Rhinolophus ferrumequinum: one gene and its partners. The protein of the gene in region 1 interacts with the protein of each later gene in a pairwise test. Links are inferred from orthologs where the notes say so. Each region holds a gene or a part of one and is shown on either strand. Other genes may lie near its edges.

Region 1 (8,025 bases):
TACATTCCTTATCTTTTGGTTTGGAGCCAACTTCTTCCTGGCAACCAAACCCCCAGACACCATGAACTACCCTCAGCCTCCCCACCCCCCTTATTGGATCCAAGGTATCAGAGCCTCCCTCACTGTCCAAGCTACCAGACTAGTCTTTGTTTCACATTTAGTACCCAGTCTGCCTGTGAATTAGAACTAGAATTGTATTCCGACCTGTTGCTCAGGGTGGTGGCAAACACTGATAGATGGTTTCTGCCATGCCAAATTAGAATCCTCAATGGCTTCTCCCCATAAACTTTGTTATAATTGGTGGTTAGAGTCCATATTACCATGGATACTCTTCTACAGTTACATTCAGGATTAAATTGATTTTGCAGACTGATCTGGGAATTTAACCACCATTTGTACCACAGTCTCTGTGGGAAAATATACTCTGTGTTCCAAACAATTGACCTTTTGGAGTTGATCCAGTTCCTAAGTTGGGGACGGCCTGTACAATATTATGTTACATTTTGGGTTTCATTTGTGTTTCCCAGAATCAAAGACTTGTTAAAGCTGGAAGAAACTTTGATCATTTATCAATGGACTAATTTTGTAGGTAATAAAGCCAAGGTTCAGAAAGATAGAGAGATTTCTTTACAGTTATTCAATTATTCTGGTCTCCTACCTCTGAGCCAATGCTTTTCCCACTCTCCAAATTGTTTTGTGGTCTTTTCCTCACATAGTCATTAAATCACTTAAAAGTTGGGAAGATCACGTCTTCCCCAGCATGGAATCAAACATACTGAATGTTTCATAAATACTTAATTGGTTCATTATTCACTTTGGTTTCAAGGTCTAGTCACTGTAAGTTTCTTTAAATAACAAATACCATTGGGGCATTTCAATTAAGAATTTATTTACAATAGACTGGATTTGTTTTAAATCAACATTTGAATAATAATTCATAAATAGTCTATTTAACCAGTGTTTCCTACCTAAAAGGACTACAGTGTTGGATGTCATTGCAATAAATATTTTTCACAGCTCACAGACACATTTGGTTTTAGTTTTAGTTTTACATGCCATTAATTTTAATGTGGTCTTAAGGAAGAGATTACTCATTTTATAACTACATTAGAAAACTTAATAAGGCTTTGTTTGCTTGTTTACTAAAACCAATTGAAACAGAGTCTTATGAAACAATTCAGAAATAAACTTTCTCCAACTGAAAAGGTGCCTCATGCATAATTTGGATATACTGTATGAGGAGAGCAACCATCATAAGAAACAAAGTATTTAAATTGTTTTATTTGAAACACAATGTCACATTTTATATACTTTTCTTCACCAACAAACACCTTTAGTTACTTCCTGGTATCTGTTTGAAAGAGCAGGATGGGAAAGCACTGAAAGAGAAACAATCTCATGTATGTAGATGACATGGTTTTATTGTAACAAACTAGGAATGACCTAAATAGACAGCTGGCCCTGTAATCTAATTACAAGAAAAAGAAGGGCCATGGATCAACTCTGCAAAAATTTAACAGTCATCCTTTGTGGTAGCTGCCCATCAATTTTAATTGCCTTATAGTTAACAGTTTTATACAGCCAGTTAACTCCTTCCAATTATCAGGCATTTATTTTGTAGTCATTTTATCTTGAAGGATACACTAGAGAACTTAAGAGATGATGCTCCAGTGAGAGTCTGTGTGTACGTTGGGAAGTCAGAAGCGTGAGGGTGGGGGTGGGGAGGAAGCAGGCTGCTATTATTGGCTAAGGGAGAAGAGGCTTTTGGTTATATCTGGCTTTATAATTTTGGGGGCAAAAATAACTGAGGAGGGGCGGCCAGGTGGCTCAGTTGATTAGAGTGCAGGCTCCCAACAACAAGGTGGCCGGTTCAATTCACGCATGGGATTGTGGGCAGCGTCCCCTGCAACTAAGACTGAAAATGGCGACTGGACTTGGAGCTGAGCTGTGCCCTCCACAACTAGATTGAAGGACGACTCGGAGCTGATGGGAATTGGAGAAACACACTGTTCCCCAATATTCCCCAATTAAAAATAAAATAACTGAGGACATGCTTTATGACCTAGCTGATAACTTCGGCAGTTGATGATTTTCTCATATGTGTATTGAAATGAAAGCAAAACTAAATCTTAAGGAAAAATCTTCGCACTGCCCAGGTATACCACCTAGGCCTGGTTCTGTATTGAGGGATAGGCTTCTACTGAAGCATATATCCTTGTCTGGTTTCCCAATATCCTGGAATTGAGTTGACTACAAAAGCCAAAGACATTTGATATACAGAATGGCTGCCCTCCAGGTATATCTGGTAAAATTTAGAACTTACTGCCACTTAAGACTTATTAAAGACTTGATTAAGAGGTATCACATTTATGGAAGGACAACCCAATGAATATCCATCCATGCATTTATAAGCTATCTTGGATTAGTCAGGCAGCAAAGAGCTATCACTATCACAACCTCCACATTTTGCTATTAAAACCTACTCACTTTCACACTATATTGGCCACTGACCAATATTGAGAGGCATATAAAACATCCCTATGAAAGTCTGTGCTGTGTTTACAAAAAATAAATCATGAGACTATTGTTCCCTGTGTTCCAAAGTGCCTTCTTTGAGGACAATCCCTAGAAACATCTCTCTGGTCTCAGCACAGTGATGGTTGGGTTCCTCTAAGCACTGGTCTGTCTTTAGCTAATGGGCACTGGCATGTCCCAGACATTTCTTGTTATTAAGTTCAAATAAGATCATGATTTTATGAAGACCCACCATCAAGATTTCCCAAGCCCCTTGCAATCAGGACATCCAATTTCCCTGCACAGACATTTCTAAAATTACCCAAGGATATTGACATGCGGTAAATGTTTAACAACCAGCGTCCTGGTGAAAAAACTATAGATTTGTAGCATGTGCTAATTTCCTTGGTGTAACTACTCCCACCATGGTCAACATGATGTCACTGAACAAGGAGATGGAAAGAGATGCATAGTAGCATATGATTATATAGTATTCCCACAATAGAGATAAAACAGATGCAAACAACTTCCATACATAATAGTAAAATGTAGCAACATAAATAGGATGTGATGTTTTGAGTAATCATTACCTTTGTTTTTAGTACTGTATAATTTATTTGTAAGTCCATATAATTTAATTTTAAAATAATAGCTCTGTTTAACAATTGGCTTGCAAAATTCCTAAAAGTTTTAACAAGTGGTTCTCATGAGCCAAAGTAAACTGGCTCCAACACACCACTATCTAAAGCCCACTGGATTGGGAGTCCCAGATAATAGTTTGCCCTTCCACCTGTTAGATTAACAATCCCAGTGTAACAAGGAGCAATACCTTACCCTGATCCCTTTTCTAAGTCTTTTCACATGTCCAAAAAGAGTAGGAGGCAGTTTCCTATATGCATGCAATCAAAACCACTACTTGCCAGTCTGCTGCTCCACGGTCTGCTGGTCTCCAGGCTTGAGTGCTCACCATGGTGCCTGGTCCAGCCAATGTCTCTTACACCACTGGCAGCCTTCTTTTGTCTCTGCTTCTAAACTGTTGGCTTCCCTAACTGATGACCTCCACTCTGCCCTTAGGTCAGTGCTCACACTTCAGTCAAGAGCCTCCTCAGTGTATCTGCCACACGAGGCTTCTCTCCCCTTGGTACCTACTCACCTACTCTTGAACCTTACTGTGGTCCCAACTGCCACTATTGCGGCTGCTACCTGCAGCCTCCGGATGTCCACCCCTTACTTCTTCCTCTGTCCTCAATTTCTTATCCAAAGTACAGATAAACTTTGAACACTGAGTTTCACGTAAATGTGGCACCAAAACTTATTTATCAAAGTAGGATAAAATGGAAATGAAGCATGACCTCAATTTTATAAAAGATATATATATATATATATATATATATATATATATATATATATTTAAGTAGTTTTTCAGAATTTATATACCTACCTCATAGGGCTGGTGTTAAGGATTAAATGAGATAACACATGTTAACATCTAAAACAGTGCCAGAGCACATACAGGGATCTCAATAAATGGTAGCTATTATGAATGATACATGAGCAGAAGCACTGCCTTGAGCTTCGGATAGCATCTTGTCTGAGTTTCTGGACAAAGTTGTACTTGAGGAATGAGTAAAAGGCCTTTGGTCTGACCAACTCCTAGAAAAGGGCAAAAAGTCGGACTCATCTAGATCCTTTGCATGCCCACTATCCCTCCTGCCTTTCTAGAGGCAGACTACTGTGGTGGAAAGAACAGCTGGACAAACAACCTTTCTGAGCCTTCGTATTTCTTTGTCCCTCTCTTCTATGCGCCAGACAGTTGGTGGGTTTACCCTGGAGGTCACAGTCAAGTGCAGGAGATAAATGCACGATCACAAGGTGGATGATTAAGCAATCTAACGGAGGGATGGACAAAAACGCACTGTGGAAAAATAGTATCCACGCAGCGGAAGATGTAAGATATGTGAAAGCAAACTATAGAACGCAGAAAGTGGTACTCATGTAAAATATTATTGCTGATGCGGAGCCTACTGTAACTATGTCATCCAAGGACAATTGGGCAACTAGCCTTGTGGAACGGTATCGTATAAAACTTATTAACAATGCCACAGTTTTCCCGCAGAGTAACCCCTTTTTGCTTTCCAAACGCGTAAACCCGAGTTTCAAACACGGGTAACGCCGTCCGCGTTTCCCGGTTAACGGAAACAGGAAGAATCGCTTGCAAAACCAGGGAATGACGCCGAGAAAAAAAAATTGAAGCGGGAAGGGAACAACTATGCCTCCGGAGCTCCCGGTCCTGGGCAGCTGGGAAGCGGGAAGGTCAGAGCTGCCTACGCGCGCTCCGTGTAATGGGAGCTCCGGCGCCGCAAACCCCAGGAGCCTCCGGGGCGCCTGCGCTGCCTCGTCGATTCGGCGCAGTGGAAGCGGCCAGAGAGGGCGACGCACCTGCGCGAAGGCGGCGGCGGCGGTGGCGGCGGCAGCGGTGGCGGCGGCGGGAGAACCGAGTCCAGTGCGATTGCGCGAAGGCCGGGGAGGCGAGGGGTGGCCGCGAAGGCGTGCGCCGTGCGCCTGCGCGGGCTGCGTGGCGCGGTGGCCGGGCCGGGCGGTGTGGAGTGAGTGTCGCTGCGGTTGAGGCCGTCGGCGGCGCTGGTGAGCTTTGCGGAGTTGGGCGGTGCCGTGAAGGAGAAGGAGGAGGAGGAGGAGGAGGAGGAGGTGGCGGCTGGGTCTGACGCGGCCGGGTTCTTGGGGGCTCCGCTTGCTTGTTTATTTATTTATTTACTGTGTGTACCTCCGAGTGCGCGCGCTCCACTACTTGGTGGGGAGGGGGTGGGGGGAGGGCCCGGGGGAAAGGGGGAGCTGGAACCGGGGTCGAAACGCCGCGTGACTTGTAGGTGAGGGAACGCCGAGCCGTCGCCGCAGCCTCCGCCGCCGAGAAGCCCTTGTTCCCGCTGCTGGGAAGGAGCGTCTGCTGCCGACAAGATGGCGGACGGGGAGCTGAACGTGGACAGTCTCATCACCCGACTGCTGGAGGGTGAGTGGGGGCCCGGCCGGCCGCAGAAAGGGGGCGCCTCCCTAAGTCATTTCCCCTCGGTCGCCGAAACCCGAAGGTACCCCCTTTCCCGCCCTGTGGCGGCCGCCGAGGAGGGTTGCAAAAGGCTGGTTAGCCGGGGGTAGGCAGGGCGAGAGGGGCTGTCCCGGCGGGCAGCCCGGTCGGGCCCTGTGGGCAGTGTCCCCGGACCTTCGGGGACTGGCATGGCGACGCGCCGGCCTGAGGGTGCGAGGAGACCAGGGGTGCTGGATGACCCTTCCCAAGGAGGGTGCCAGGATGCGTGCTCCGTGCATTGTCTATGGAACGTGTATTTCTTCTCTGTTCTTTGTGCATTGCCCTTGGCTGCCTCCTATTCTTGTTCCGTGAGTGAATTTTATAAAAACCTTCTTGAGATGCTTGTTTGATCTGTTCTGCATTTTTATATGATGCTATAGGAGGAACTCTATTTAAGGAGAGGATAACAGCGGGAGTTGAGTGCCTCCCATTATTTTGCTTAAAAAATAGTAAAAAGACTGACGGAGTTGAAGATGCACGCAGGAAATATGGAATACGTAGACAGGTTTGCCGAAGGGATTGGCTTTCAAGTTTGAGAATTTAACAGGTTTGAACAGGATTTAATTTCGGCACAAACTTAGCAAAGGTCTGTTGTAAAGCCTCTCTTGTGTTTTGAAAGTCTTCGCAGCTTTTCAAGTTCCCAGGCCCTTCTGTTTTGAATGGTTTTATGTTGGGGTGAGGGATTGAGAAAAAGAGATGGAGATGCCAAGATATTCAAAGTTAATCGCGGTCTTCTCCCAGTGAATCCCTTCACCCTGAAATTTGCGTCATCACTAATTGCTTTGTGAGAGTGTAGGGAAAAAAATTGAGCCTTAAAAAAATTTTTAGAATCTTTTCTGCCAGAAGTCCAAGGATTACATATGCACTATCTGTTATTATTTGCTTTCAAATTACCTGAAGGTAATTGATACAGTGAAGCAATTTGTACTTAACATTTGGAAAATCATCAGAGATTGTATGATGGGGGGCGGGGCGCTAGTTCCTTCCCTTTTTTTCCCAACCAGTGTCGGTATCTCACAGTTCTGTGTACAAACTACAGTATATTTGCTCCAGATGTGGAGGCCGCCCAGCCGTCTAATACTTAATAAAAAGCAAAGTTTTACCAGGAACTCTTCTTTACCTTTTCCTTTCCTACGAAGTTATTCCTGGGAGGCCCCCTGGTGCCTGCAGTCAGTGTTCACTGCTTACGACTGTGTGTGGGCTTTTAACAGATGTGAACATATTGAGACATTTGCTTTGCCAAAAATTTTATATTGTAATTGTATGTTGTTGTAAGAGGGAAATATAGCTATTTAAAATTTTTAATATCTTGTTAACTTTGGGGAAAGTTTAGGCCCACCATCATTTTTATACATTTTAAACTAGGCTTGTAAATGTCAATGTTTTTTAAAATTTCAACTTCTCCACTTTTGTTTTCCATATACCTACGTATTTATATACTTTATATGCATAAAACATAGTAGACTTATGTGTTTTAAAATGTTTGATCTGAAACCGTGTAAGGCAAATGCACCGTTTTATGATTATAGATAACTTAAGAATCTTCACTAGTGGATTATTCAAGGTTATTGGGAAAAAATTGGCTAAGTGAGTGATTCCATTTGTTTTTGTGAATTCAAATTAAATGTTTGGTGGTTCTGGTTTTAAACAATCATTTTTCCTTTTTTTTTTTTTTTTTTTTTTTTTTTAGAATCCTAGTCTAGACATTTTCTGTTTTTAAATTAGCAAACATTTATTGACCTGCTTTGTGCCAGTCACCAGGAATCTGAAGATAAGATGCAGTCCCTTCACTTGACCTCCCAGTATAAACAAGTGATTTTCAGGCTTTTTTAGCCTCCTCTCTTTTGATATGTTCAACACACTCCCATCAGTAGAGTTTCATTACTTCTTAATCCCAGGAATTATATTTAGTTTAACAGTGCCTCCCTGAGATTCTTAAATTCTCCAGGCTCCTCCTCTCCTTTCCCCTTTCAAAATCTAAACCGGTTAAAAGGCATCCAAAACAGACTTGGAGTTTCTAATAAGTAATTATTTTTAGTCTTCAAATGAAATTTTTTATGTCTGCCTTGATGTTCAGTGATGTTACATGCTAGTTAAATTTAACTCAAATTCAAGTGATGGCATTTTGTAAAAGTTGCCTAGCAGAATAGCTACAGTGAAAAATTCGTTAGTATTAGAGGAACATACAAGTTACAATTGGGCACAGTTTCTCTACATAGGGGGAGTGGAAATTAGCAGTGCTTGATCTCACTTTAAAATGTTGATTTGAGTTCCACAATATTGTTGATTCTGTATTTTTTATTATATTAAATTGCCAGTCAGCTGTAGCACTTTCGGTAAATATATTTTATGAGTTTTGCTTTGTGTTTTTGTGTGTGTGTGTGTGTGTGTGGGCATATCATTGATGCCATGTT
Region 2 (6,916 bases), on another chromosome or scaffold:
AGAAACCCACCGATCCTGGACCCCGGCCGCACACTAGGTGTTGAGAATGTCTGCTCACAAAACGTGTCATAAAGAAAATGAGATAAGTCACAATGTGGGAGAAGATATTCACCACGTGAATAACCAACAGATAACTAATATCCAGGAGATTAAAAGGTCAATAATTTAAAATTTAAAAAATTTTAAAAGACACACAGCCCAATAGAAAAATGGACAAGAGACAGGAACAAGAATTTCTCAGAAAAGGAAACCCTCGCGGCCAACAAGCAAGCCTATGACAACAGGCTTCTCTGTTACCATAATCGTCACAATTTTATACCTCCTAAATCAGCAAAAATCAAGAATTCTAATGACACCAAACATCGATAAAGATGCGGCTCAAGGGGAATTCTAACAAATGAACCTCTTTAGGAAACAACTTAAGTCAAACATTTGCCTACTCTGACAGAAATTCCACTCTTACATTTATATTCTATAGAAATTCTTACACATGGGTAGCAAGTCAAACACAAGAATGTTCAGGACAGCATGGTTCACAATGTGAACAGAAAAAAAGAAAAAATAATAAACCTAAGCATTCAGCAGCAAGAAAATAGATTGTAAATTCTGTTATGAATTATAGAGTGAAAAAAAATTCTATGCACACTACAAGGATAAATGTTGGCCCTATAAAAAGTGAAAAAAACCAAGTTACAACAAACTATCAACAGTAAGGCTCCCTTTTTATAACCTCCCCCAATCTAAACAAATCCTTTAGGGTTACACCCACAAGTGATAAACTTCAGGCAGGAGGTTTCTTCTGTGGGTCCAGCAGCAACCTGGAATAGCACAGGGTCCCCTGGTTCCGAATTTGGGTGGTGAGTTTAAATGAGTTCACTTTACTGTCATGACTCATGACTAATATTGCATTTCTCCTTCTGTATGAATCAGCTAGTATACACTAAAATATTAAGATGTTTTATACAACCAACCTATAGACAAAGCACAGAAGACTTGACTAGTTTTGGACTACATTGTAAATGTTACAAAAGTTCACTTTGTAATATAACAAATGGGAGAGAAGGGAAGGTAATGTGAAGGGAGGATAAGGACAAGAAATGTCATCTTTCATGAAAACAAGTCAATAGTGCCGACAATTGATCAATCAAGAAGTGGATATGGGGGTGGCCGATGGCTCAGTTGGTTAGAGCAGCGAGCTCTCAACAGGGTTGTGGGGTCAATTCCCGCATGGGATGGTGGGCTGCGCCCCCTGCAACTAAGACTGAAAACAGCGACTGGACTTGGAGCTGAGCTGCGCCCTCCACAACTACATTGAAGGACGACGACTTGGAGCTGATGGGCCCTGGAAAAACACACTGTTCCCCAGTATTCCTCAATAAAAAATTTTAAAATTAATTAATTAATTTAAAAAAAGTGAATACAGGAAGGACAGGTCCTTTTCTCTCTGTGCCGTGGGGGGGGGGGTCCCTCCCCGCCAACTCAGCGTTGCACAGCAACTCCACACCACAGGGACGAGGGCCTCCCACGCCATGGCCAGAGGCTGGCTGCTGACAGCACAGCCTGGCTTCACATCACCTTAGGTCATTTCTAAGAGGTTTGCAGGGAGCTTCTGGAAAGTACTCCTTCCTCTCATGGGTGAACTTCTGGATGCAACCAACCACCTTCCTGCCACCAGACCACAAGCCAGGTAACAAGCAGCTCCAACTCTCCCACCACTGCTGTACAACCACGAGTAGAACCAGCCTCAGGGTGAAGCCAACATGGCGGGCAGAAGAGCAGAAAATGGCAAGAATGCCACGTGGGGCACTGGATACACCCACCCTAAAACCAGCCTTCCTCGGGATTTCAGGTTTGGGGGCCAACAGCTTCATTCACCATTAGAGCCGTTCTGAGACTGCACCTCTGTTTCTGGCATCAGGCATCCAAACAATATCCGGGATGAAGGATATTGTTTTGGATTTGTTGTAACGGAGGGTGTCAGCAAAGGCTTCCTCCAGGGAACACTGGCAGAGCTGAGCCTGGCACTGTGAAGAAGCCTTCCAGGCAGAACCACCACAGGGCAAAGGTGCCCACAGCGCCCTTGGGGAGGAGTCCACACACAGGAAAGTAGGTGGAGATGGGCCTGGAGCAGCCCAGCACGACTCCCAGGGCCTCCTGGGCCTCCTCCAGGAGTCCGGACTGCGTCCCTAACATTGACTTTAAAGAGCTCCATGCTCGGGAACATGACCAGATGCCCAGTTTACAAAGGTCACTCCAGGGGCAATGCTGGGGGGAGAAGGGGGGAGAAAAGTTACAGTAATCCAGGCAAGGTATTAGCAGGTCTTAAAATAAGCGATGTCAGAAAGACGGCCAGAGGAACCGCCAAGTCAAAACTCGACCTATGGCTGCCGTCGACTTACTGGGTGACGAGAGGTGCAAGGTACGGGGATGAGGGGATGAGGAGCATCAAGCCCACACCCCAAGGTTTCTGCTCAGGCCACTGCCATTCTCTGGAAAAGAAAAGGCGAAGGTGACGGACAAAGCCCAGGTATTTGGAGGCCTCCAAGCGGAGATGTCGAGAAGCCGGGCTGCACCCCACAGCTCACGCATTCAGATATTTACTGAAAAGTCCTGCATAACAGGCACCGTCCCCAGCATAGAGGAGGGCAGTCTCCATTCTGGAGTTCACCTTCCAGGAGAAGCAACAATAGTGACTACAAAGCGCACACAGTTAACTGCAGCTGAGGACTGAGCGCCGGGTGGGGTGGGGCCGGGGCGCAGACGCTGAGGACCAGAGAGGCTCCGCCCAGGGCCCCAGGGCGCGAAGCGGCACAAACCGCCGTTGGGCGCCGGGCCGCTACCCCGGCGGGAGTCGCACGGAGAAGCGGGCAGCGGCGGGGGCACCGGGCTCGGATTGGTTCGTCCGAGGGCCTCGCCGGGGTCGGGCAGCAGGACCCTGCGGAGCCCGGGTCGACTCCCAGGAGCGCAGGCATCTCACCTGGGGACGAGTCAGCCGGCCGGTTGCTTCACCCAGCCGCGAGGAAGCCGATCTTCGCCTCCAGCCCCGCCGGCCAATCGCGGAGCAACTCACGCCAATTGACAGGCCCCATAGGCCAACCACTGGCGCCTGTGGGCAGGACTCAACGAGCCGGGGTGGAGAAGCCCGCGCTAACGGTTGCTAAGGACGCACCGGACTCCTTCTACGGCGCCTCCGAGGAGCCAAAAGAGACGGCGGCCCGCCAGCCGGGTACGGCAGACACCGTTTCCTCTGGTCTTGGGATCGAGAAGGGTGAGCAGCGCGAAGCTCGCCTCTCAGCAGCCTCGCCCTGGAGGCTGGGGCAGCAGGGGCGGCTCCCTCACGGGCCAAGCACACCCGCGGGGCCGAGGGCCGACGGAGGTTGCGGCGCCCGCTGTGGGTGGGTCGGCGTCCCGGGCCCCGACCGGCTCTCCCGGCACCTGCGGGCGGAGTTCCTCCCCGGCCCCGGCCCTGGCGCCGAGCCCGTCCCGCGCTGAGCGTTAACTGGAGGCGGCCCCTTCACTCGGACTAAGTCCGCGCGGCGACGCCGAGACAAAGTCGGCCCATTGTACAGACGCCTCTGCGGAGGCCCGCACTTTGCAGCCCCACGCAGAGACTCGCTACGAGCCCAGAGCATCTCCCAGATTCTTCTCTCCGCTTGCCTGCAGCCACTGCTCCGTGCGTGCAGCCCCAACTGCCCCAGTCCTCCTTCCCGCTCCTCGCCTCCAGACGCCTCCGGGGCGCTCTCAAATTACCTGCCCGGGGGAGGTGAGACGGCCGGCGCGGAGACTGAGGGCGCGCGACCTCGCGGATGGACTACAACTAACCGTGAGGCTCTGCGGCCGCGCAGGCGCGTCGGGGCTTCAGTCCCCTCCGCTGGGATTCCATTGGCTGGGTGAGTTCTGAGTTGGGAGCCCTGATTGGCTGAAGGGCCTGAGGCGACAGATTCCGGAAAGGGGAAGAGCAGCCAACATGGCGGCTGAGCGCGGTGCCGGTCAGCAACAGTCGCAGGAGATGATGGAGGGTGAGCGGCCCCACAGGGCGGTGGCCGAAAGGCCCAGCAGGCTGGGGGTGGCGGCCCGCACCGACCTTGCCCGAGAGAAACGGGGCTGCCCGCCTCCGACCACAGCCCGGGCCCTGCCGTGCGGCCCCTGACAGCTGCCAGCCGGTTCGGAGGGGCGGGGGCGGGGGCGGCCCTGGGGGCCCCGAGCCAAGGCGGCAGCGGCCGGGAAGGCGCGGGCGGACCGGGAGGCGCCCGACCCAGGATCGAGGGGAGAGCGGCGGCATGAGCGGGGTGGGCGGGTGGGTGGCTGGGGACTGACGGCGCCGTAGTCCCGCAGCGCGGGCGTTCACCCTCTGTTTGGAGCCTCGCACTGAACCTCTGAGCCTGACCCTCGGGGTCCCCGTGCAACTAACGAGGAAACAGGCGCAGGGCGCCGTGGGAACTGCCCGCGCTGGCTCATTAGTGAAGGCTCATTTCGAGAAGGGTCCTCTCGAAAGCGAATGGGTTGTGGAGAAGGGGGTGACAGGGAGCCGAGAGACTGTTACAGAACAGCAGGTGCCTGTTTGCAAAGTTATCACAGTTAGGAGAGGACTAAATTCAACTCTTTCACTTTGTTGAAAAAAATTATATGCATATATGTGCATACGACTGTACACACACACACTCAATTGGAGAGTCAGTTCTATCACAATACTGATGTGCTCTTGGCTGCGCTGGTTTCATGGGGGACACAGAGCTCCAGGAGAGCAGCCAGCCACTCGAGTGTAAATGCCGGTAAGAAGGAAGCAGAAAGGGTTGGAGGTGGGGTGCCATAAAGGAAGAGCTGGCGTACTTAGCAGTGAAGGCGGCACAACCAAAGCTCCAAGTTGGACCTTAAATGTTCGGCCAGGCTGGGGGTGGGGGAAAGATCAAAGGTCATTTCAGGGGAAGAAAACCACACAGTCACAGGCAAAGGGCTGTGAGAGATCCAGACCTGTTTGGAGGAGAGCTTGACCAAGGATGACAGTCATTTTGGATGAGGGTGGAGAGTGCCAGTGAAGCTGGCAAGAGAAGGTGGGGGGTGGGGGGGAAGCATTTGAAAAGTCCTGGACTTTGAAACCCTTGGATCTTTTTAAGCAAGGAAGTGCCTCTTCCTGTCCCCTTTTTCTCTTCCTCACCCACCAACCACTTCCATGCCTTAGTAAATGACAAACGAAAACCCCAGGCATTTCTCTCTCTGGACCCACTCATCCATTGGTCAGGAAGCTCTGACGCCTCCACTTCCTTAAAATCTCCAAATTTTCAAACGTCTTTCGTTCCCACTGCCAATATTTGAGCCAGCCCATTGACCCCAGGGCCTCACATGGTGGTCCTCTGTCACTTGCCCCATACTCTGCAACCCTCAGGATAGAATCCCAGGTTTCATGTTGGCTGCTCTTCCTTAGCTAAGCCCCTTCCGCCCTGGGCCGAGCCACATCCATAACCCAGTAGAACTTGCTCTTAGCCTTGACCACAGAGTGCATGGAATGGCAGTGCAGGCAGGTTTCCGCTGCTACCAGTATCTCAAAGTAGAACGTTCCTATAAAACCTTTCAAACCCGAAACGGCATAAATCAAAGAAGCAGTTACCTTAGGACATAACTTACTGCAGATGCACAAAATTGAGATAAAACATAGATGCTCACAGATACAGTTCAAAGCTATGTCAGCTCGATGCTGAGACGCTGGGTGTAGGTGCCCTGGGTCTAGGCTTAGTGGTGCCACTCACTGGGGTGTGTGCTGCCTCTTTTAGGGCTCTCTGCAAAACAAAACAATGCTATTTTCACTTTTCACGTTTTTTTGTAAAAACTAAATTCCTCTTCAGATTTCTTTCATTAGTGATAACAGGTACGAATATAAGTCTTTCTTAAAAATGAAGTGGTGTAAAGTGAACTTTTGAAAAGCAGGGGTACCTGTAACTAATTAATTGTGTACTGCTTTTATTTATTAAAAGCTAACTGCTTTTGTGCCTTATCTAATTTAATCCTGACAGCAGCCCTGAGATATAGTTACTATACCAGCTCCCTTCTGCAGATTTGGAGACTGAGGCTTGGAAAAGGAAGTAACTGCCAAAGCTGTGTCTCTAGGGGCAAGATGCAAAGTCAGGAAGAGCCATTGGTATTCCAGAAATTTTGTGGAGTCACAGATCAGATTTGGGTTTTAGAATCAGATCAGACTCTGGCAATGGAGAATAGATTAGTCAGGGCCAGACAAGCCACAGAGAGACCAGTTAGGAGGCCCAGCAGGAGCCCAGGCCACAGGTGAGGAGTAGCTGAGCCGAGGCAGTTGCTGGGGGCAGGGAAGAAGGAATGGATTTGGAGGTTTTGGAGGTGGGTTCCATAGGGACGTGTTTCATCCAGCAGTCCTTTCCTGGGTGCTTCCTCACTTGGCCCAGCGGGAGATACAAATTGGAACTAGACCGTCTCCCTCTCAAAGAGCACGCTCCTGTGAGATAAGCTGTAGTCAGGAAACTTGGAAGCTGTTAGTGCCTGAGGGCTTCCAGACAGACTTCCAAAAGAGGTCATGAAAAAGTTAGGAGAAAGGAAACTTATCTGACAGTTTTGCCAATGAATTTTTATCAGTCTGCCCCATGTAATCATTGCCGTGTTTATTCGAAAAACATTATTTACCAGCCTTTCAGAGCTTTGAGCTGCCATCACTATGCCCTGGTGTTAGTTAGCATTGTGACCTTCTCGTGGGGCATTTAGCACTATTGGCTGTCTTCTCCTGTCTCGTTAGAGCCCCCCCACCCACAGTCTGATTTGAGTTAGTCTTAATTTCTTTCAGAACGTGGGCCTGTGAACTGGGCTGGTTTTCTTGGCCAAATGGATAGTGGAGCATGGATGAAGGTATGTGGCAGGAGGGTCACAATGGTCCCCTCTTCGCAATGTGCAGGCTTCG
Region 3 (7,603 bases), on another chromosome or scaffold:
AAGCCCTTCAGTTGTGGTTTAAAGGTTTCTTCAGAGGTCCTTTCTCACACTTTTAGGTCCCATATACATTTCTTCACCCTAATCCTTCAATGAATATGGAGAAACTGCAGCAACTTGGAGAAATAATTATCGACACGTGAGAATGATTTCTCCCCTGCAGTTAGATTATTTCATTCTTTGCTCACTTGTTTTGTAGCACTCAGTTCTCTAATGTTGTTCAATACCATCCAGGGGACTTTAAAAACAAATTGTAACACTTAAGATTCTCTCTCCTTTGGCCCTTCCCCCAGGCAAAGTTTGCCTCCCCTCTAGGCAAACTTCTCTCCTAGCAGTTACCTTACATGTCCTGATCCTCTGTGGCCACCTGGCCCGGGAGGCCTCTCCTTTCACATATAGGAAATCTGGAAGCACATATAGCAAATGTGTATAACATTCACACAGCCCATTTACCACTGAGCCAACCTGGCACGGTTACTTGTTTTTTTATCTCTACGTCCTTCTTCCCAACAGATTACTAGAGAGGCCAAGTGTATCATCCTTTGTTTGTTCCCCTCTCTTCTCTTTCTGCCTCAACTCAGCTGAGACCCCTTATATGTCTCAGGCGGTGCTTGCACTTTCTTTAACCACTTACTGTTGGTGACAACAATCGTGCTTCACACCTGGATCCAAATTGCTCTCTTACAAGGATGTTTAAAAGTGGTGTAATGTGGTAAAAACTAAAAAAATTTCAGGCAGTGTAAATTACACTTGAAAATTCCTTCAGAGCAAACTGAATGGCTGATAGCATAGTCTATTCAGCAACACTTTTAATTTCTTCTGTTGCCCTCTGGGATTATGTCACTTAAAAAGAATGGTGAGCTGCTGGCACCATTTCAATTGTGATCTCATTTACTCATTGGTTGAGCCCCATAGCTGGTTTCTTGTCATCTGAATGCTCTAAAGATGAAACTCTGCCATATTCAAATGCTTCCTATTTTCCTAGCCTTCCCAAGTCTCACTTCCTCCTTGAAGCTTCCACAGGTATTCCACAGGGAGCCCTACCTGTCTGAATTTCTCTGGGCTTCTACAGAGCTTCCTTTTGGTCTTGGTAGGTACCAGTGTGGTGCTTGTTTTTTCCAGAGCAAGTCATATGTGGAGCATAGACTCTAACAGGGTTTGAAACCTGGTCCTGTCATCTGCTAGCTGTGTAATCTTGTACAAGTTCCTTAAACTCCCAAAGCCTCCTCAGTTTCCTCATCTGTAAAATGGGGATAATCATTATGGTTTCTACTTCATAGGATTCTTATAAATATTATGAGTTAATATTTGTAAAGTGCTTAAAAACAGTGCCTGACCCAAAGTAATCACTGTGTGTGTGTATGTTTTCAAATTATACTCCTTCACCTAATATTTGTGTTCCCATCCAATGTGGCTAAAGAAGGAAAAAGAAATTAGTGTTAAGAGCTTACTATTCACTGAGACATGTGAACTGGCTCCTCTCTGCTCTCAAAAATAGAAATGCCAGTCCTTTTAATCAAAATGAGCAGTTTTCAAAAATAAACAAATAAAAATAATTAAACACACACACACACACAAATGAGCAATTTTCAACCTCACTGACTATACTGTGGGTAATGAAGTTCAGTTATGAGGTTCATTCTACTAAATGTGGTTAAAGTACTGACATTTTAATATTAATAGCTAGAAGGTTGAATTCTCAAACACTTTCAAATTGAGCATTGAGAAAAAGGGCAAGGTTGCAGAAAAGGAGTTGGCAACCTGGGAACCTCCCGCAGGGTGTTTTTTTCCTACAAGGGCACATCTCTGGAAATATAATGGATGAATGTTGTAAGAGAGCCACTTGTGTAAGCCACACAATCATGACCCCCTTGCTTTGTAGCTCCTTAAAATGTTCCCTGGGTATTTCATGAATTTAAACTTGTATTTTTGTAATAAAGATTGTAACATCCTTATGGTCAAAGGCCTGTGACTTATGAGTCCTTGTAACCCCTGGCATGGCTGGAAACACTGTATAGATCAATATGCCCTCACTAGTAGATTTATTATCGAGATAAGTAGGACAACGCAATGTTTGGATACTGCCAAAACACAGCTGGAGAAAATCTACAAATAATAATAAAACTCCCCACAATTCCTAATCTACGTTCTTCATTGGTGCAGCTCCTAAGAACACTGATTCCATCCCAATGCCTCTCAGCCCATAATGAAGGGCAGTAAAAGCCAGGAAGGAGACAAGTGAGGGGCCGGATTATGCTAAGTGAAATAAGTCAGATGGAGAAAGACAAATTCTGTATGACACCTTTTATATGCAGAATCTAAAAAAGCTGAACTCATAGACACAGGAAGTAAAATAGCGGTTATCGGGGCTGTGGGTTGGGGGCTGGAGGAAATGGGGAAATGGTCAAATAGTACAAACTTCCAGGGATCTAATGTACATCATGGTTAATAATCCTGTATTATATACTTGAAAGTTGCTAAGAAAATACATCTTAAATGTTCGCACCACAAAAAGGAAATGGTAATAATGTGATATGATGGAGGTGTTAGATAATGCTCTGGTGGTAATCATTTTATAACACATAAGTGTATCAGATCAACACATTGTACACCTTAAACTTACACAATGTTATATTAGATCTCAATGAAGGTGGAAAAAAAAGAGAGAGGGACTGGAACATCCAGTTTAGAGGTTTATTGAGTGTTGACTCTTCTTAAGAGAGAGCCCTGTTTTGCTGATCTTCTATTTTTAGGAACTTCAGAGTGGCTTTTATGGCACCAGTCAGCACCAGGGGGCAGGAGAGAAAGCAGCATGAATGTTGAGGAGCAAACTCCAACGGACTGTACGAGTGAATGACATGAGTGTGTGGCGCCAACACAGTTTTTGTCACCTAGTAGGTAGGCTATACATGTTAGCTGAATCTAAAAGTTTTAAAGTCCTTTAAAAATCATTTCTTAATCATTTTCTCAATCAGAAGTCCATGTTCATTGTAGAAGAATTAAAAAATACAGAGAAGCAAAATGACAAAGAAATTTTTAATTACTCATAACCTCATCATCCAAAAATAAGCACTGTTAACATTTTGGTAGAGCATATTCTATTATCTATGTATACACACCTTTCCCCCAAAATGGGATCACAACACATTCTTATTATTTTATGTTTCTCCATAACTTTAATTGGTAATATCCACTTTTTAAGCTCAACATACGATCATGAGTGGTGAAAAAATCTCGACCCAGTGTTCTAGTTTGGGCTCTGACCTAACCAGTCTCTGGCAAGCAGTGCAGCCTCTCTGAGTTTTAGATTCCTCATTTGTGAAATAAGGACTTTGAAGCCAATGATAACCTAGAGTACCTTCCACCTCTATCATTCTAATTGTTGATGGGAAAGTATCTAGCAAGTGTCAAACCCAGATTATGTCCTTTCAGCTAGTTTTGGCTGGGCTGAGGGGCTAGTGAATCTGCTATAGTTGGACTTTTCATTTCAAAATTCAGGCCCAAGCACGAACTATCTTCCCCAGTGATATTCAACATGAGTTTCTTTTTCTTCATTCTAATTACTTCACTTTAACAATTTCACTGTTTGACAGTTACTTAAAAGACACAAGGATTTTTGTACATTTTAATTGATGCCTGGATATCCAAGTTAATAGAACAGAAGTAGGAGGTGGGTTTTAAAAAAATAATCCATACTCTACTTAGAAATTCAATTTTATGGTTGTGATTGATGGTCTAAAAACTCCCCAAACTAAACAAAATAACGAAACCTCAGTGAAAGTAACTGGCTCAGAGAGTCAGGAAACTTACAGTGTGGTATTTTAACATTTTGGTTTCCACATCACTGCCAAATGATGTCAGAAGTGAGCTGAGGGATTTGGGTTGACCACTGGCTCTGTGGCTGACCGGCCACGTGAGTGAAAAAGGACATTTCACTTCTGGCTTTAGTTTTCTCTTCCAGGGAGAAAAACTGAAAAATAGATCGAAATAAAAAGTTCCTTATAATTAAATGCTACCTCACTGTTTTATGGGGCTCGCATGCTCATGCTTTATTAACAACGTTTGTCAGAGATAGATGGTTGATTCTCGGCAGCCTTCCTCTACTGCCTGGTGCATTTGTAAATTCACCTTCACCAAAACACATGCAGCCAGCTTTTTACTACTCAGGCGAAGCTGAGCGGGCGCACTAAGCAATGAACAATATAAACATTTCACATACTATATACATTTGGAACTATCCACAGCTCTCTGTGCTCAGATCTAACTGTGTACAGACTCCTTCCTCAAGACTCCAAAGGCATCTCCTTCCCGGGAGCCGGCTGAGCTGGCGCCTCGCCTGGGTGAGGTTTGCAGCTTTCTCCCCTCGCCAGCACCCGCTACGTGCGGTGCTGCCGTCGCGTCTCCTCGCCCGGGGCTAGCTCAGTCAAGGGGGTGGGGGAGTCCCCAAGCACCCCGCCCCCCGCCTCCAGCCCTGCAACTCCAGCACCACGGCGGTCACGTACTCCCCGCGAGGGCTCGCGCCCCAGCTGGGCGCTGGTTGGTCCGAGGAGTTGGGTCACGTGGTCAGGAGCAGATAAGGGGGGCCCTCTCCGGCGCCGCACCCACAATCCGCCGGAGCTGCCGCCCAGCGGGGACAGCTGGGAACCGGGTGCGAGTTTGCGCAGGCAGCGAGTGCCACCTCCTTTGGTCCGCTGCCCTCTCTGCCTAATGAGCTGCACCAGGTAGGTTCACTCGGGACGAGAGGGGTGCGCGCCGCTGCGGGGAGATTGGGCTGCGTTTCCCTTCGGTCCTCTCTGCAAATGGAGACTCCACGCGAGGCCAAGTGGACTGACTGTTGTGTTGAATCTGGCATCCGGGAAGCCTCGGAGGTGTAGAGATTTGCTCTGTGTTTCTTAGGCGGAGCTGATTTTGGTAATCCGCCTCTTAAACCAGAAGCTGGTTTAAGGAGTCAGATGTAGTAGTGATTCTATTATGGACTGTTTGTTATCTCTTGGTCCTGCACAGATGTCCCAAGGCTTCTTAACTTGTGGGAACAACACTTTGACATTGCTGGTTGTGTAGTGTAGCATGGGAGAAAAACTTCAGGTCTATGATTCGTCCCCATCCGCTCTTACCACGGTTGGCCATAGTAAACGCAGTCTCAGACTTTGAGCAAATGATGATTTTTGAACTCTTGGTCAGGACTTAAAATTCCAGGGAAATCGCTAAATTCTAAAACTGTCTTTCAATAAGTGCAAAAAATAAATTACAAAGCAAACCCACAAAACAAACCTCACACAAAACTACTTTAAATCGCTTCCTTAGACATAACTTGGCAGAAAATTTCTCCAAAAATCCTGCCTGTTAACTATTATTAGACCCACAAATATAGCTGCAGCTTTCATTTGTTTGTTCGAAGTTTATATGTCTTCCAGAAAAATCCAAGGACTGATAAATTCTGTGAATGTCCTTTTATTATTCGTTTTGTGATAATGACCATTTGCCTGCATGTTTAGAGCTGCTGTGAAGAGTTACTAAGAAATGTCATAGACAATATACACACACCTCTTATCGGTAAGGCTAGGATAGGGGGAAAAAAGTCCATAAGCTTGGCAATATGTACTGAGGGCTAAGAGCCAGGAAAAAAACAAAACAAAAAATCTTGATCTTGATGGACGCTTCTTAATTTAATATTGCTGAGCATAGTTATGTTTAAATTTTTAAAGAGCTTTATTATCTTGCTAGGTATAAATATCCATTGCCAAAACATTAGAAAATGCCAAAAAAAAAAAAAAAGTACCAAGACAATAGATCACCTCCAATCCTATCACCCAGAAATAATTAACTTTTTGGTGTATTTTCTATTGTTTTTATACATTTACAAGTTCATACATATATAATATATATTAAAAACAGTCCAATTTTCAGGTAATCAGCTTTTTCTTCTTAAGTATGCACTCGTCATGGATGTCTTTCTATATGAAACATAGATTCTATGTCAGGTTTTTCTTTAAGTGCATTCATTGCTAGCTTACATTTCAATTGGTCCTTTGTGGGAAATGAGGAAGAGAATGATAACCAAAGTGCAGATATAATAACCCCCCTGACTTCACGCTTTCCAGCTTTCTCACTCTCAAAACTGTTTCATGAGAATTTTTATTGCTTTTTTTTTTCTTTTCAAGTGGGTTACCTTTTCAGAGAAGGGTGATCAATTCAGCAGCAAAATCAGCAAAGCAGCCAGAGAGAGCACTGAGTCTGGAACTTTGGTTCCAGAACCTGTCTGGTCATTAGCATCACCAGAGAAGCTTTAAGAGCATATGTATCTCTTCATCTTCACCCCAGAGGTTCTGCCTTAGTGGCTCTTAGTGCTAGGAATCTGCATTAAAGAGAAAGAAAGCAAGAAAGAAAACCAGCTCCCTAAGCCATTATGACCAGACAGGTTTGAGAAGCCCTGGTTGAGAACAGAGCCAGTGGTTTTTATAGCTGTATTAAAGATTATATGTTCCAACCTTTTTATTTCTCAGATGCTGAAACTGAGACACCCTCCCCCCCAAGTGTTTTAAGCTGTTAATCTATGACCTTGTGGCCAGTCAAGGGTAGAGCTGTCTAATATTTTCTTTTGCTACATATGGTAGCACCTTCCTGATACATGCGGGCTATAATTTAGCCAACACAAAAATAGTATATATTTGGGACCAGGGGAAGAACATTCCAGATCCAGGTGATAACCCTTCTTCTTCTTGTATTCCAGGATGATCCAGGTCTTAGATCCACGGCCTTTGACAAGTTCGGTCATGCCAGTGGATGTGGCCATGAGGCTGTGCTTGGCTCATTCGCCACCTCTGAAGAGTTTCCTGGGCCCTTATGATGACTTTCAACGACGAAATTTTGTCAACAAATTAAAGCCTCTGAAACCGTGTCTCAATATAAAACAGGAAGCCAAATCACAGAATGACTGGAAGCATTCGCACAACCAAGCCAAGAAACGGGTTGTGTTTGCTGACTCCAAGGGCCTCTCTCTCACCGCCATCCATGTCTTCTCTGACCTCCCAGAAGAACCAGCGTGGGATCTGCAGTTTGATCTCTTGGACCTTAATGATCTGTCTTCGGGCTTAAAACTCCACGAGGAGAAAAACTTGATTTTAGATTTCCCTCAGCCTTCGACTGATTACTTAAGTTTTCGGAACCACTTTCAGAAGAACTCTGTGTGTCTGGAGAACTGCTCTCTGCAAGAGCGAACAGTGACTGGGACAGTGAAAGTGAAAAACGTGAGCTTTGAGAAGAAGGTTCAGATCCGTATTACCTTTGATACTTGGAAAAGCTACACCAATGTGGACTGTGCCTACATGAAAAATGTGTATGGAGGCTCAGATAGTGACACCTTCTCGTTTGCCATTGACTTACCCTCTGTCATTCCAACTGAGGAGCAGATCGAATTCTGCATTTCTTACCATGCTAATGGGCAGGTCTTCTGGGACAATAATGAGGGTCAGAATTATAGAATTGTCCATGTGCAGTGGAAACCTGATGGCGTGCAGACACAGATGGCATCGCAGGACAGTGCATTCCACCGGGTGCCACCCAAGACTGAGTCAGAGCCAACAATCTTTGGCAGTCCTAGGCTGGC
Region 4 (7,386 bases), on another chromosome or scaffold:
AATCTCAACAGGAACGGCACAAATGCCCCACCTAGCTGCATAATTTATATACTAACTCATAGTGTAATCCTGCATCGTTCTGCTGCTGCTCCTAAAAATGCTCTGTTTTCTTAGTTGTGGGCTAACGCTTTTCTTCTAGAACACTTATTTTTAATTTGTGATTAAGTTTTGGTTTCATTATATGAGCTCCAAGGCTTAAATGAGGAAGAATTTATTACCACTGCAAAATGGAATGAGCTGGAAACGATGCCCTATGTGGTGTGAGATTAATGCCATCAGCACCTTTTTTTGTATAATTAATATTTTATTCCCCCCCCTTTTTATTTTTACTTTTTAATGATCTTGTATTTTACCTTTGACTTTCAACTTCCATCTATTTCTACTTCCTCCTTGTTCTTGCGTCTTTTCACTTCCAGATCTCTGTGTTGTTCCTTATGAGTATAGGCCTCTTGAACAAGTTATCTTGGAAATTGCAACTAAGTCTAACATTTGTATTCTCAAATTCAGAGATTTGAAAGTTACATATGAATTAAGTTTTCAGTTGGATTAATGTCAATTATAAGGGAACTTGCTATTTAAAAATACTAGTGCATTATTGTACTATTTTGTACTGTATGGAATCTTTTAGGAACTAGTTTATTATGTGAATCTGTGTTTTCATATTTGCATAAAATGAGATGCACATTCCTCAGTCACTGCAAAATCCTGTTTTCTTTCTGAATTCTAATGTCTGATTTTTCATTTAAGGATTTAGATAGTATCTTTCTCTAGACACCTTTGTAACTTATATAGATAGTATCTTTCTCTGAACATCTTTATAACTTTGCGTTAGACTTTCACTCACCTCCTTTAGGCTTATTAAGCTTGCCCTCTCTAAACTCACCACTGCCGTCCATCCCCTCAAACCTGGTTGTTTCTTTCCCTTTTTAATAGGCAGAGTGTGTGTCAGGACTGAGCCTCTCAGTGTGTGTTATACGTATATGTAGATCAATCTGTATGTCCTTTTTGAAATCTTTGATAAAACACAGCTTTTACATTGTTTTTAGATTGCTGTGGCCTTTTTCCTTAGATTTGCACATACTGATTTCTTTTGGTTAATAGGGATGGAATTAGTCACAAAGAGGTGCCTGTCTCTAGATCTGGATTATAATTAAGTGTATATTAGAAAGTAACATACAACTTCGGGGTTAAATCTACAAGTTTCCTATCCTAAAAATTAATACAAAGCCTTAGATTTTTATCTTAGTCTATCTGTGAAGCTTAGCACAAAGTATCCTCTGATCTATTCATTTTCAATCCCCACCCCACCCTCTGGAGAATGTATTCTTGTTTATCTTTTGGTGGTAAAGAGAAGTCCATACGGTATATACTTTGGTCTCAGATAACCATCTGTTCAAATCCCAGGTCTTGTTTTTCCTGGATGTGACCTTGAACAAAATATTCTCTTAAACTTCAACTTTCTCATCTTAAAAAGGAGATAATACTTAATTCACAGGGTTGTTGGAGAGATTGAAAAGGATAATGAGTATAAAAGATTTATTTTGTACATAATACACTTACTCAGTTGCTCAGTAGATTTTGAATACTATTGACTACATGTAAAGATTGCCTTTACATGTAAACGTAACTAAGACAGATGTATAAACACTGCCCAGGACAGGAAATCTGACCTTTGGTTTTTATCTGCAGCTACTGTTCTTGGTTGTATGTCTTTTCTTTTTAATTCTGCTTTGACGTTTTTGTCCCTAAAACAAACCACCCCTCAGTGATTGCATTTGAGTTGGTCCATAAATATGTAGCAGCATGGTCTGGAACAAAGCAGCAACATTGAGAATTGAATGTCCAATGTTATTATTTACATATTAATATTAGCATTTCTCTTTACTTTTCTTTGTAGTTTCTATTCTGCTATACTTGAGCTTCCTGGTCATTTGACCTCCATAGGCCCTGCTTAGTCTGGAGGCAGAATTGCAGTTATTATGAGCCAACTGGTACCACTGAGGTAACTTACCTAGTGATTCTATCAAGACAATGAAATATGGTGAATAAGTGACTATGGTAAGTAGTTGTGATGTTTGTTAGAGGTCCAGATGATAGTTCAACTGATCTAGAGCTTATTGCCAAATTGGATTCTGATATCTTAAAGAATGTTCTAACTTTCTTTGGCTGTCATCTAGTTTGGTATCATTAACCAACAAAGCTTGTGCACGGAGACTGATGGTAGGTACCCTGATAAATTTCCATGACTACTCAAACTGGATGTGTAGGCATATAAGACTCTTTTAGCCTACCCCCATGACTTTTAGGTTGGTTTTTGTTACTCAGCTCACTGATTCTACAGAGTGGTCTAGGGCCTTCTCTTCCTTTTTGTCTTCTGTGTGTCAAGGAAAAATAGAATCATGAACATTTACATAGCACTGTTGTAAACATTTTGTACTACATTAACTGTTTAATCTTCACAAAACCCTATGCGATACATAGTGGATACATAGTGTTGTCTCCATTATGCGATACATAGTGGATACATAGTGTTGTCTCCATTTTGCAGATAAGGAAACTAAGGCACAGGAAAGTTACATACCTTGTCAAGGGTTGCACCACAGCGAGTGGAGCAGTTGGAGTTTATATTGAAGCCTTCTGGCTCCTGGACCCATGATCTTTTTTTTCTTTTTTTAAATGGAGTCTATTTTGTTTAACTGTGCAAAGACTTTATATTGTGGCTGTTCGTTTTTTTATTTTTATTTTTATTGGGGATTATTGGAGAACAGTGTGTTTCTCCAGGGCCCATCAGCTCCAAGTCGTTGTCCTTCAATCTAGTTGTGGACGGCGCAGCTCAGCTCCAAGTCCAGTTTTCAATGTTTAGTTGCAGAGGGCGCAGCCCACCATCCCATGTGGGAATCGAACCAGCAACCCTGTTGTTCAGGGCTCGTGCTCTAAGCAACTGAGCCATCCGACCGCCCCCCGGATCCATGCTCTTGATCACATGTTACATCACACCTAGATTTCAGCAGATAGAGAGATGATCAGTATATGGTACCCTAAAGACTGCTTTTTTTGTGATCTGCTGCTTTTTCATTTTACAGTGTTGTTTCCTAGCCTCTTAGAGTTTCTGATGTCACCTAGAGGAGAGAACTGTAATTCTTGGCTTTTTTTCCAAGCTGCCCAATCTCTCAATTCTAAAACCAAGATGGCTTGGTAGCCAGTAGACCTGGCTCCATAGTTCTTGGTTGCAATGAAAAGTGCACTAGGCTTTGGAACCAGCCTAACCTGAGTTTAAATTCCTGCCATCCATCAATCCAATAATATCCAGTAAATATCTACAGAACTTATAAATGTCAAATACCAGGCTTTGTACTGGGTGCTGACGATACAGTAAACAAATTCCTTGCTCTCATGGAATTTAGTCAAGTGAGAGAAGACTGAAAAATATGTCAGGTGGTAAATGCTAAGAAGAAATATAAGGCAAGGGGATAGAGACTAAAGAGAAGCACCATTTTAGAAATCTGATTAGTGAATATCTCTGATAAGGGGACATTTGAGCAAATGGTAAGTGAGGGAGTAAGTATGATAGCTAGCTGGTGAAAGTATTCTAGGCAAAAGGCCCTGAGATGAGAGTGTGATTGTCCTGTTGAAGAAACTGCAAGGAGGCCAGTGTTACAGCAGAGTAAGGGAGGGGAGGAAACAGGATGACCTAGGATTGGGAGTGGTAAGGCGACAGGATGCACCTATATCTTGTAAGGCCTTATAGGTCAAGGAAGAAACATGCACTGTTTTCAGAGATAGGGAACCAAGGCTGGGTGTGTTTGGCGAATGACAGACATATGACTTCTGAGACTTCGTTTTTCCCATCATAAAAATGGGTTGCAAAGTTGTGAATATCAGAGATGATGTAAAATTGTCTTTGAAAGAAAACACTTAACCCGTCAATACATATTGAGATAACTCAATACATTGCTTGTATTGCCTATACCTTGGGTAGGCTGCAGCACGTCATGCTCTTTAAGATCCCATGAGTGAGGATAGGGGGATTATGTTCTTTAGGCATGGGAGTGTGGTCCTGGCGAAAGAAAAAGGGTAGCTTTAGAGGAGAATTCGTTTAGTCACTGAAGATCTGTGACTGAGGGTCTCTCCTCTTCTTCAAAAGGCTGCAGCGGCGCTAAACTCGCTTTCCCAGGGTCCCCTGCAGCAAAGACAGCCTCCTGAACCTGTTTGCTTGGCGAGTTTCGGTTTTGCGCCGATCGCCGCCTCCAACTCCCGTCATGCTGGTGGGCGTGGGGCCGGCACGTAGACTCCATTTCCCAGCCTGCCCCGGCGGTCGGTCTGGACGTGCAGGCGCCTATAAGAGCCAGAGCGCTGCGGCCGGAGCCTATTGTTAGCCGGAGCCGGGGCGGTTCTGGGCGGATGCTGCCGGGAGCGCCTGAGTTGCCGGAGCCGTCTGCCCTCCGCCGCCTGCCGGCCGACCTGCCCACCCACCCTCCCTCCGCGTCCTGCCGCCCTGGGAACTCCCCGACCGTCGCCGCGGTCCCGGGACTCGCGCTCTCCTCCCTCCTTCCCACCGGGCTAGGGCGGCGGCGGCAGCAGCGGGGGCGGCAGAGACCATCACGGGAGGAGGCAGCAGCGGCGGGGCCGGTAATGGGCCTGGGGGTGCGGGGCGGAGGGTGCCGCCTCGTCCTTTCTCGGGATCGGCCCTCGGGGGCTGTGGAGGAGTGGTCAACTCAGAGCCGCGCGGATGGAGGGGTCAGAAATGAGGGAGGCTTGGTCGGGAGCGGTCGGGGGGCGGGGAGCTAGGGCGCCGCTGGGAAGGGAAAGAGTAGGGAGAGGCGTGGGAGCGAGCGGCTCGGGGGACGCGGGCCCGGACTGCGGGGGCAGCTCGGGGGAGACTGATGGGCGCCTTGGAAGCCGGCAGGATTGCGGATGAGGGTTGAGTTCGGAATAGAGTGGAGATGCTGTAGGATGGAGGGAAGTGAAGGAAGGGGAGGAGGAATAGAGGAAAATGTGGGAGGAGTGGTTGGGAATTTGTGAGTAGCAGGCAGGAAGGGATGGGAAGGCTGGGTGGGGGCTGCAGACGATTGGACTGAGCGGGAAGGTTTGCAGGAATCAGAAATGGGCCGGGAGCTGAAGGATTCAACGGGGGTGTCCATTAAGGGGAACTGGTGGCTTGACATGTCCTTTCTGCTCAGGTTCCTGATGTCCCCCATTTTTCTGGTGTTGTGTCTGAAAACGAAAGCATCACTTGCCCTGGTTGCTAGCTTGATCTTTCTCACAGGCCCAAACACGCAGCTGACTGCCATCCATCCCTTTTAGTGCCCTGGTCTTGATTCATCTTTTTAAAGGGGTTTAGAGTGGCATTGTGACACACACATCGTTCTTCCAAATGAAATGTTAGAAGTTATCCCCAGGAGACACAGTGTCCCCTTGTCCTACGGTTTTCAGTTCAAGGTAAATCCAGAGTTGATTCCGATTTTCCTTTTCTTTACCGACTTAACATCTTGCTGATCTCCAAAGCCAGGAGGACGTTGGTGGGTGCCAGCGTTATAAATGACTGGATATCCTTGAGAGTTAATGGTCCCTGCAGCATCATGTTCCAGTTCTCCCACAAAGATCTCGTGTCCTCCATATGCCGGTAGTGTAGACAGGGAAAGCCAAATTCTAACCTTGTGCCAGTGAAGGGCTAAAAACCAGGGAACGAAGGTTGGAGGGGGACTTCCTGGTAATACCTAGTTTAAACAGGATGTTTTTGCTTGAGTGCTTTAAAGGTTCATGATCCTGGTAATCACAGGGACACATAGATCCACAAAATTCATAATTGAGAATCTACCACAATATAGTGTAAAAGGAGAAACAAGAAAGGTCACGCTTAGCAGCAAGCCTTCCTTCCTCTAACCCAGCTACAGATGGTATCCCTGAGACACTTACTAGAGATTTTGGTCCTTTGACCTTTAGGAGAAGATTGGGTTCCCGTTAAGTGGAGTCGCTTTCTCCTGTGAGATGTACGTTGTCTTATTATTTCGGACTCATTTAAGAGAGAGGGCTTTTATTACCTAAACTTTGCAAATATATTCTGCATCCACAAAATTTTGTGTGTGGGTGGGGTCCCTCTTTTGCTAGTCTCATGTTGGTTTGGAGAGATTGTTAATGGAATCCTCACAGGTCTGAAAAGGCTTAGATCTAGTACTAAAATACACATATGCTGTAGGTCTATTTTATTTGATGCTAGCCTACTCTCTTTACAAACTGTGGATCTGAATTATTTCACATACCTTTGGGAAATGGTCAGTAGAGACACTTGAGAAAAGACCATAGGCCTGTATCCAGAAAGTGGCAGCTGAACTTTCATTTTACTGGCATTTAAAAGCTTTCATAGAGGTTTGCATTATTTTCTTCACAAGCATTTGTTGTTTGAGATGCTCCCTTTGACAGTTAACTGTCAGTTATGACCTGCATTGCCAGTCTCACCTGATTATTTCTGCATGGGTTTAAGTACTGGGAGTACAAGTGTTTCTCTTAAACACACACATTGATCCTTTGCCAATGAATGAAGAGTTGAGAGAGGTAGGAATGACTGGTTTCTAACTGTGGTTTGAAAGGAGGTTGATGTGATACATTGGAAAGTGTGGAACCTATTCTAGTTGTGGCTGTTGCAAAAGAAGATCTCGTCAGGCCACTGTGGAAGGGCTGGAAGGGCTGTTCTTGGTGCCCAGTGAACATCTTTATGTAACAAGTCAGGTTCACACCAGAGCTGGGTTGAAATTTGAACTTACATTGGTTGTCTGGACAAAATCGATGGATTTTTTTTTTAACGGGTTCATGTCATAGAAAGTGATGCCAACAAATCCTGGGCAGAGTGAAAAGAGCTAAGTCAGTGTGGACATTATTTACACATACAGCCATAGATTATTCTCAGGTGTTTTAAGGAAAATAGTTTTCTCCTAAGTTTCACATCTTTTTTTCTTTTTCTTCCTTACCTACTTCCTATCATTGCCCAGAAAACACTATTCCAGAAGTGAAAGGAGGGAAGACATAGGTCAAAGGGCGAAGGAGAATGGAGCAATCCTGGCTGCACCAGCGTGCACAAAAATTAACCTAAGAGAAGTGATAATCCTGAGGGCAACTGGGTGAAGACAGTGGAGAAGTTTGATAATAAAGATGGTTTTGGACCAGACCCAATCCCATGTAGGGCTTAAAGAGAAATATTCAAGGGAACCCACACTACCGGAAGCAGAGGGAGACCCAGGAAAGAACCAGAAGTGCACATTCGCTTCCAGTCATAAATCTCTGAGGGCTTCTAGGCTGAGGAAAAGGCAACTTTCCTAGTAGCAACACCAGCTGGATTTCAATTAAAACTGAAGCTGGACTTAAGCCCTTTCTGAGAAAGCAGATTTTCGG

What was found.
Region 2: the proteins of PPP1CB (region 1) and PPP1R7 interact in binary tests that used the Homo sapiens proteins (3 or more experiments, as listed by UniProt). The link is inferred for Rhinolophus ferrumequinum from reciprocal best matches to the Homo sapiens genes PPP1CB and PPP1R7.
Region 3: the proteins of PPP1CB (region 1) and PPP1R3C interact in binary tests that used the Homo sapiens proteins (3 or more experiments, as listed by UniProt). The two-hybrid records come from large-scale screens. The link is inferred for Rhinolophus ferrumequinum from reciprocal best matches to the Homo sapiens genes PPP1CB and PPP1R3C.
Region 4: the proteins of PPP1CB (region 1) and CSRNP2 interact in binary tests that used the Homo sapiens proteins (3 or more experiments, as listed by UniProt). The two-hybrid records come from large-scale screens. The link is inferred for Rhinolophus ferrumequinum from reciprocal best matches to the Homo sapiens genes PPP1CB and CSRNP2.

Annotation. Positions count from the first base shown.
Region 1 is NC_046296.1:52,233,402-52,241,426, reverse strand, and holds the start of PPP1CB (serine/threonine-protein phosphatase PP1-beta catalytic subunit), read left to right. Parts: upstream 1-5,022; 5' UTR 5,023-5,157; intron 5,158-5,213; exon of another isoform or gene 5,214-5,399; 5' UTR 5,400-5,487; coding exon 5,488-5,539; intron 5,540-8,025. UniProt on the Homo sapiens protein: Protein phosphatase that associates with over 200 regulatory proteins to form highly specific holoenzymes which dephosphorylate hundreds of biological targets.
Region 2 is NC_046291.1:514,769-521,684, reverse strand, and holds the start of PPP1R7 (protein phosphatase 1 regulatory subunit 7), read left to right. Parts: upstream 1-3,903; 5' UTR 3,904-3,967; coding exon 3,968-4,019; intron 4,020-6,802; exon of another isoform or gene 6,803-6,854; coding exon of another isoform or gene 6,855-6,864; intron 6,865-6,916. UniProt on the Homo sapiens protein: Regulatory subunit of protein phosphatase 1.
Region 3 is NC_046299.1:30,362,843-30,370,445, forward strand, and holds the start of PPP1R3C (protein phosphatase 1 regulatory subunit 3C), read left to right. Parts: upstream 1-4,590; 5' UTR 4,591-4,704; coding exon 4,705-4,718; intron 4,719-6,727; coding exon 6,728-7,603.
Region 4 is NC_046293.1:51,585,882-51,593,267, reverse strand, and holds the start of CSRNP2 (cysteine/serine-rich nuclear protein 2), read left to right. Parts: upstream 1-4,373; 5' UTR 4,374-4,737; intron 4,738-4,856; exon of another isoform or gene 4,857-7,386. UniProt on the Homo sapiens protein: Binds to the consensus sequence 5'-AGAGTG-3' and has transcriptional activator activity. May play a role in apoptosis.